Alligator mississippiensis: one gene and its partner. Each later gene encodes a partner of the first gene's protein in a complex. Links are inferred from orthologs where the notes say so. Each region holds a gene or a part of one and is shown in the gene's direction. Other genes may lie near its edges. The genes, in order: APLNR and APLN.

What was found.
Region 2: the proteins of APLNR (region 1) and APLN are in contact, whole or in part, in a cryo-EM structure (PDB 8XZG), measured with the Homo sapiens proteins. The link is inferred for Alligator mississippiensis from reciprocal best matches to the Homo sapiens genes APLNR and APLN. Residues at the interface, in NP_005152.1 of Homo sapiens: Tyr35, Phe78, Trp85, Tyr88, Thr89, Tyr93, Ser106, Ile109, Phe110, Met113, Pro163, Val164, Arg168, Gln180, Cys181, Tyr182, Met183, Tyr185, Glu194, Glu198, Leu201, Gly202, Ser205, Tyr264, Lys268, Tyr271, Ser275, Cys281, Asp284, Leu285; in NP_059109.3 of Homo sapiens: Arg66, Pro67, Arg68, Leu69, Ser70, His71, Lys72, Gly73, Pro74, Met75, Pro76, Phe77.

Annotation. Positions count from the first base shown.
Region 1 is NC_081825.1:172,971,236-172,975,141, forward strand, and holds the start of APLNR (apelin receptor), read left to right. Parts: upstream 1-828; 5' UTR 829-1,148; coding exon 1,149-2,237; intron 2,238-3,792; coding exon 3,793-3,816; 3' UTR 3,817-3,906. UniProt on the Homo sapiens protein: G protein-coupled receptor for peptide hormones apelin (APLN) and apelin receptor early endogenous ligand (APELA/ELA), that plays a role in the regulation of normal cardiovascular function and fluid homeostasis.
Region 2 is NC_081831.1:39,782,992-39,786,897, reverse strand, and holds the start of APLN (apelin), read left to right. Parts: upstream 1-1,001; 5' UTR 1,002-1,102; coding exon 1,103-1,169; intron 1,170-3,906. UniProt on the Homo sapiens protein: Peptide hormone that functions as endogenous ligand for the G-protein-coupled apelin receptor (APLNR/APJ), that plays a role in cadiovascular homeostasis. Functions as a balanced agonist activating both G(i) protein pathway and beta-arrestin pathway of APLNR.

The DNA of each region.
Region 1 (3,906 bases):
TTTTGAACTTATCTGTTGCGTGTGGTCACAGGAATAAATAAAAGTAAAATAGTGGGGACACATGGGAATGTGAGTAGGTCCTGCCTAGGCTGAACTTTGGAATTACATGAGGAGACATTCACCCAGGACAGTGTGGCTAATGTGGCACAAACTGTAGTGCAAATAGATATATATCTCACCTACACTGTAATAACAGCCAGGCTCAGAGACCTAGTATTATGGGAAAACATGGAGAGGAAAAAGGTTGCACTGCAGATAGGAGCACGCTATGCACTAGGAGTCCTGTCCAGTGCATGTTCAGTAACGTGGTAGAGACATTATTAGAAACAAGTCCCCTGGTGGATCCAGAGGGCACTGAGTACCACTGCATTAGGACATGATCTTAGATCTCACAGAGATGGGACTAACCAGGGCTGATGTATTTGCTTTGACAGTATCCCTTTCCTGCCAATAAAACCCCTGAAACCAAACACTGGAAATGGCAGAAGGAGGCTGAGGGACAGACAAACAGGGCTGACTTACTTAGTGGGGTTGCTAAGGGTATCTGTGAAATTTCACACTGAGCACTAGCTCCCCCCTTCCCCCCAGCAGCTCCAGCTGGCTTCAATCCTCATTCTTACCCTAGCCCCCAGGGAGCTGGGACAGAGGGATAGGAGGTGGACATTTGTGGATGCAAGTAGCAGACTGAGCTGCCCTATGCTGCCCTGCACTGCTGGAGTCTGTTTGTCTACTTGACATAAGGATGTGGTGTGAGAGGCAAAGGGGAGGGACAGGGTGGGGTGGGAGGGGAGGGGAGAGTGAAGGGGAGGTTGTAACTAAAGATCCTAAAGCACAAGCCTGTGGACTGAATGGTAAAAGGAAGGAACAGCTGCCTCTGAGCTTGCATGTGAGAGAAGGCAGGAAAGGATCTGGCCACAACTGTCTGAGGCTTTGCAAGCGAGGGAAAAAAGAAGAAAAGAAAGAAGGAATGAGCTGAGCACGGAGGACTCAAACTCACCCCCCACTCCCCCATACCCAACTTGGACAGCAAAGAAGGGACTGCAAACGTGGTGAGGCTACATCCCAAGAGCCTCTATCCAGAGAGGGAGCAGGCTGAAGAAGATACCTTCTAGCATCCTTCTCCGATCCCTGGAGTCAGGACCCTGAGCATGGAGGACCTGGGGTATGACGACAGCAGTTATTTTGACAACCAGACTAGTGACTGTGAGTACACAGAGTGGAGTCCATCCTTGACCCTCATTCCCACCATTTACCTGCTGGTCTTCCTTCTGGGCACCTCAGGCAATGGATTGGTGCTGTGGACCATCTTTCGGGGGGGCCGCGAGAAGCGGCGCTCAGCCGACACCTTCATTGCCAACCTAGCCATGGCTGACCTGACCTTTGTAGCCACACTGCCATTGTGGGCTGCCTACACCTGCCTGAATTATCACTGGCCCTTTGGCACCTTCGCTTGCAAACTTAGCAGCTATCTGGTCTTTGTCAACATGTACGCCAGCGTCTTTTGCCTAACAGGACTCAGCTTTGACCGCTATTTGGCTATTGTACGGCCAATGGCTAGCACCAAACTGAGATCACGGGCCAGTGGGCTGGTGGCCACCATCACCTTGTGGGTCTTGGCGGCTATGTTGGCCCTGCCTGCCTTGATCCTCCGTGAGGCAGCCATGCTACGTGGGGAGGACAAGATCACTTGCTACATGGACTACTCAAGTATGGTGGCCAATGGGACTGAGGGGGCATGGGAGGTGGGGCTGGGCCTGTCCTCCACACTGCTGGGCTTTGTCATTCCTTTTGCTGTCATGCTGACCTGCTACTTCTTCATTGCACGCACCATTGCTGGACACTTTCGGAAGGAACGCAATGAGGGGCTACAAAAGAGGAAGAGGCTGCTGACCATCATCATTGTGCTGGTGGTCACTTTTGCTGTCTGCTGGTTGCCCTACCACCTTGTGAAGACTATATATGTGCTGATGGACCTGGAGGTGATGCCCTGGTCCTGCAGTTTCCACACCTTCCTCAACAACTTCCACCCTTACTGCACCTGCGTGGCCTACATCAACAGCTGCCTGAATCCCTTCCTCTATGCCTTCTTTGACCCCCGCTTCCGGCAGGCTTGCACCACTGTCCTGGGCTGCAGCCAGGGCCGCTGGTCAGGCTCTGGTGGGGATAAATCAGCCAGCTACTCCTCTGGCCACAGCCAGAACCTTCCAGGGAAGGGTGGGGAGACACAGAGAGAGAAGGTGAGCCCAGACACTCATGATACGCTGGTTCGGGGCTAAGAGTAAGCCTGCTACCAGGGACAAGTAGAGCCAGACCCATCTTTTTCTCCTCATTCTCCCTTCCCACCTTCTGTTCTTCACTCTCACTCCATCTCAGCTTCTTTCATTTGTCCTTCACCTTCCCTTTCATGAATTCTCCTCCTCTTTCCCAGGTTTTCCTCTTCATTTCTCTCCTCTCTCTCTTCCTCCATCTTTCTCTCTCTTTCTCCCATTCTCCCTGTCTTCCTCTGTTGCAGGGCTGGTATGGATAAAGTTCCATAGTCATGCTGAATCTCTCTTTGACCTAGCTTATAGCTAGGGACAGAGGTTAGCTGAGGTGAAGCCCTCTCTCCCTGCTCTGGAGAGGTTTCAGCATGATTTGCTGTCTGTTTCTCATTGCTTTTGGGGCATGGGTGGGGAGGCTGGAGGATACCCCATATCATCCAGCTCCGGTCTACCTCTTTCTCTAGAGTCTAGACCTTGCTTTTGCAACCCCTGCTGTGCTCTGAGGCTGAACAGAATGGTTAGTGCTGCTGCCTCTCCTGAAAGCCTTGCTCCTGGCCCTCTGGAAATTCATTGTACCTTTTGAGGTTGGATGGAGGAAGACGTGGGGCTGCAGTCCCTTCTTTCACCCCCCCGTAACTGTCTGCCTTCTTTCTCAATTTAGCAGCAGGAAGTAAAGGTCTGAGAAGCCTTGAGCGAAGAACTGGCCCTGTGGTTGTGTGTTGGGAGGAGTAGATAGAAAAGCCTCCCCCCTTCCCCTAAGTGGAGTCTGATGAGGTGACCCTTGCACCCCATACCCTCTCATATGGATGGCAGGGGCACTTTTGGAAATGTGTATCATATACCCCTTTACTTTGTAACCTGCCCCCAGTAGCTCTTGCCATCAGTAGGTCTCAATGTTCTTTACAAAAAACAGTAACATTGCCTGGTAGCAGACAGGCAAACTGAGGTGCGGGGGGAGGCAAAATGACATCACCAAGTTCATGCAGCTGTTCATTAGTGCATACAGGATGAGACCTCAGCTCTACCCACTAGGGACTAGGCTACACTGTCAGCCTCTTGCCATACCCTAGGGCCAGTGGGCTACAGGAGGAGCTTTGACTGTGTGTCTCGCTGCATGCATCAAGAAAGGGCCGGGGGCAGGCATTGACTGGAGAGGAGCCAGGAGCCCCAAAAGTATGGGGCTTGAAGTCTGTCATGGCACCAGGACTGTTTGGACCTCTATATGCTGCCTGTATTCTCTGTGCCAGAGCAAGGCCCAGGAGAGTCAGAGGGGTTGGGGGAGGAAGGGGAGCATCCAATCCATGAGACTGTGGATGGGTGGACTGTGGGAGTATATTCTCTGAGCTTCCCAGCATGTGGGGAACAGAGAAGCATCTTGTTCTGTTGTTGATCACCTGATGGAGAGCATGTCTACAAGAGGGGCCAGACCCATCAGAACCAAACCCCAGTGACATCCGAACTCAACCACAGCACCTGCTGGTCAAGGTTTCAGCACAGAGCATTTCCCTTTGTGTTTATCATTTCCCTCCAGGTCTCAACCTCCACAGTTTGGTGAGAAAGGCCCTGGCCCCTCCAGCTGGGTATGGGGCTTGTGTTTCCATCCTGTGGGAGAAGAAGGTTGTGAACTGCAGTGAGATCTCCAGCA
Region 2 (3,906 bases), on another chromosome or scaffold:
TCAATCAGTGTGATGCCCTCTGAAAAAGCCTGGGCTTATGGGTAACGCATGAAACTAGGTCTCTAGACATCTACGTTCAATTCTGAGCTCTGAGACAAACTTCTTGTGTGATACCAGAGAGGCGGCATAAGGAATCCTACCTTTCAGAGGTGCTGTGAACAGAGCCACAAATGTCTGTCACCTACTTGGGTCCTGGAGAAATGGGGATTTAGAAGTGAGGACAAGTGGTCTCACGGAGTCTGATGAGACACTCACTCCCATTTTCAAGAACAGAGAGGAAGCTCTCCGTTTCAGGCTCTTGTCATCCAGATGGCTGGCTTTGCATGTGGCATCTGCAGGGATGTGGGTGTCCTCTGTAACTCTCTTGCGCCTCTTCATGGGTGAAAGTGTGCCACATTCCTCACCCCAGCCGTTATACCTGCTATGTACAGAAAACAAAGGCACTGAGCAGTCAGGCAAAAGAGGATCCAGCCTGTCAAGGCTTATCCCCTGGCCCTAGGCCCTCACCTGCACTGCTGAACACATGGGGATCTTGGAGGGCAAATGCTGTTTGTATGATCTGAGCAGGCCCAGTAGGGTCACCCTGGGATGCTGCTGCCTGAGACAGGGGTGTGGAGTAGATGACCTCTGCCTCTCTTTGACTGACCGTGAGTGAGACCTGAAGGGCCGAGGGCTTTCCTTCCTTCTCTCTGTTGCACCCCACCAGGCACCCCTGCCCAGCAGGCATCGGGGCTCATCTCCGCCTTCCCGGCGGTGGCCGCCCCCGCGGGCCGCTGCTGCTGTAGCTGAGGTGGCCCCGGGGCCCAGCCCCTGCCCGTATGTGCGCGACACCCCTGCGGCGCCGGGGGCCGTGGGGGGAGCCCTGCGCGGGGCGGGGGCGGGCTGAGCGCCATCCCCGCGCCCGTCCCGCGGGGGAGGCGCCCCGGCCACGGCCACATGACCGGGCGGGCCGGGAGCCAGGCCGCGCGGCTCCTACAAATGCAGCCCCCCGCGCGAGCGGGCGCAGTCGCTCCCGCAGCAGCCGCCTGGCGGACCCGGCCCGGCTCCTGCCCACACCGCGCCGACGCGCAGGCAGCGGCAGCCCGAGCGGTGCAGGCGGACCATGGGCATGCGGCGCTGGCTGCTGGCGCTGCTGCTGCTCTGGCTCGCCGTCAGCGCGGGCTGCGGAGGTGAGTCGCCGCCGGGGCCCCCGCCCGCCGGGCACTTGTTGCGCAGCGGGCGGCGGCCCGGGACACCTGCGTCAGGTAGCGGAGCCGCCGCCCCGCCCCGCCCCGCCCCGCCCCGCTCTCTCGGCCCAGCCTTGCCGCCGCAGGCCTGTCCTGGCGCGGGGCCCGGCCTGAAGGACGGCGGGACACCCGGGGCCGCTGGCACCGCGCGGGGAAGGGGCGGGGCGGGGCGGGGGCGGGGGCTGCGGGCCCGGCGCAGCCGGCGGTCCGGGCCCTGCGGCGGGAACCTGTTGCGGAGCCCCGGCCCCGGCCCCGGCGCCCTGACCCCGCAGGCGGGCTCCGAGCAGCCTGCAGCTCCGGAGCTAGTCCAGCCCCGAGCCGCCCGACAGCGCAGGCTTGAGGCAGCCCTTGGGGGGGCCAGGCACTGGGGCTGGTGCTCGGGCGCGGGGGCACGGGCACGTGCTGCCTGGAGGTGCCCGGAGCTCGCACCTATGCGGGGGGTGAAACCAGCCCCTGGAGGCAGAGGGTTAAAGGGACCCTGTAGCCCCTTGGAGACCTACCTTGAAGGCATGGGGTAGTCCACTGGAGACATGCTGTTTGGTGCTCTTGAGCCAGGGAGGGGAGATGGGGAGACGCACACCTGATCCTGAGTGTTAGGGGTCCCCCTGACAGAGCTGCTGCCCACAGTGACTTGCAGTCAAGGCCAGTCTCTTATAGGCACAGCTTGGGGCTTGGCTCACTCCTGAGACGGACAGTCACCACACCAGGCAATCACCTACAGGTCCCAGTTGAGTCTGGTCTGTAGTAAGGGGTGCTGTGCTCACTGTCAGCCTGGTGACACTAGTTGTTAAACTGGCTCCCACTCAATTGTGTCTGCTGGCAGCTGCCACTTGCCAGGTACTGCCAGGATTGCCTGAGTAGCTGGGATCCTGTAGCTTCTGGCTTTCTGGCCCCAGGCTGAAGGTGGGTCACAGAGGCTATCTGGGACTCATTCAGTAATGTTGCCCCCTAAGTTTTAAGCCAGCCTTCCAGTGCAGTCTGATGCCTTCTACTTCCATTTCCCCTTATTCCCCCAACCTACCAGAACAGTGGAGGGGGCACCTGGGAAATGCCTGGAGTAGAAGCAAGGAGTACCAGCTCTATTCAGCCACTAAGATGCTTCAAGCACCTGTAGTTTAACTAATGTTGAGCCTGGAGGAAGCTGCCATAGTGCCAGTCAAGCAGAGGGACATCTGCGTCTCTAGAGCAGAAAAGTAGGCAGCATTAGGGTAGTAGCTTCCCTAAGCATGGATGTGTAATGTGTACAGCCCAACCTTGTAAAGGCCCTGCCCAGCTGAACATCCACTCGCCTGCCACACTCCATGCTTGCCTTGTATGTCTCAGCCACCTGTTCTGGTCAAAAGGACAAGAGTTAAGCTGTCTGGGAAAGAGACTGTCATCCACTATGAGCAGTGCCTGGGATGATGACCTGACAGGCCTCTTGGCACTACTGCCATGTAACCTAACTAAGTGCTAGGGACCATACAGCATCAAGGGAGAGTGAAGCAAGTGGACAACAGGTGAATGCCCTTAGCTGTCCCATGGAAGGATGGGGTTATGGAGAGGGCAGAGAGTCCAAGAGGAAAGGCTGTTGCTGATGCGTACAGCATGGTGAAGGTTCTGAGTGAACCGGAGCAGCCAGAATGCATGCATGGTAGCCCAGCCCAAGGGAGAACTGGGCACACTGCGGAACCAAAGCCTCCATCTGCTGGGGTGGGAGGTTGGAATCAACCCACAGCTGTAGGGTGGTTGACTTCTGAAAATACCCCATGAGGAACATCTTTCCATACTGCTTCTGCCTGATGGGCAGTAAGTGCTGGGAGGGACTTTTCTTTCCTCCTTGTTTCAGGAGAAGATTCTGAGGGATACTGTTGCTGCTCTATACAAAAGACCCTCGTGAGTGAAACCAAAATGGTTGTTAGTATTGCATGCAGCTAAATTAGCCTTGGACAGCACCTACTTGCAGGAATTGCAGGGAAAGCAGCTCATGCAAATGCCTGCTTCAGGCCTCCTGCTGTCCAGTTCTCTGTTCCCAGAGACTAGCCTGGACTTCCCTTGTCTCTTAGGAGAAGGCATTTCCCCCACTACACACATTGGAGATGATTGTGTTGCTAACAAAGATTAAAAGATTGTTCCCACTCTTAATTTTGCCAGGGAGGTGCTTTGAGACTGCGTTTTTCTACTCTGCCCCAGTCCCAGCTCTGAGTGCCAGAGTCCTGTCCTTCCAAGAACAGCTCTTTGTAGTGTCCATGCTGTACCATATAGTGACAGCAAGGCTTTGCTAAGCAGGCTGGTGGCTATGGTGCTGGGGTGCCTTCCTAAATGCTTTGATGTGGGGGTCATAGTCTTTTGCAGAACAGAAGACCAGGACTCCAGGGCTACAGCTCCAGGACCCCTTCCCCCGCCCCTCCCCTTCCTCCCCTGCAAACCATCCAGCCATAAAGGAGAAAGTAGGGTTAAGGCTGGGGAGCGGGGTGGGCGGTAAGTCATGACATGCCCCAAAGTAGCCTGCCTTAGCTGCCTCTGAGTGCTAGAGGATCCCAGCAACAGAGTGGATGTAGAACTGGTGCCGTGTGTCTGATGCTTCCAGCAGAGCCCTGGGAAGCTGACTCCAGAGCTGCTCTGAGATGCATTAGTAGGACAGGGGCTGTACCTGGCTGCTGAGGTGTAAGCAGTGTCCTAGCCCCCTCCTGTGGCCATA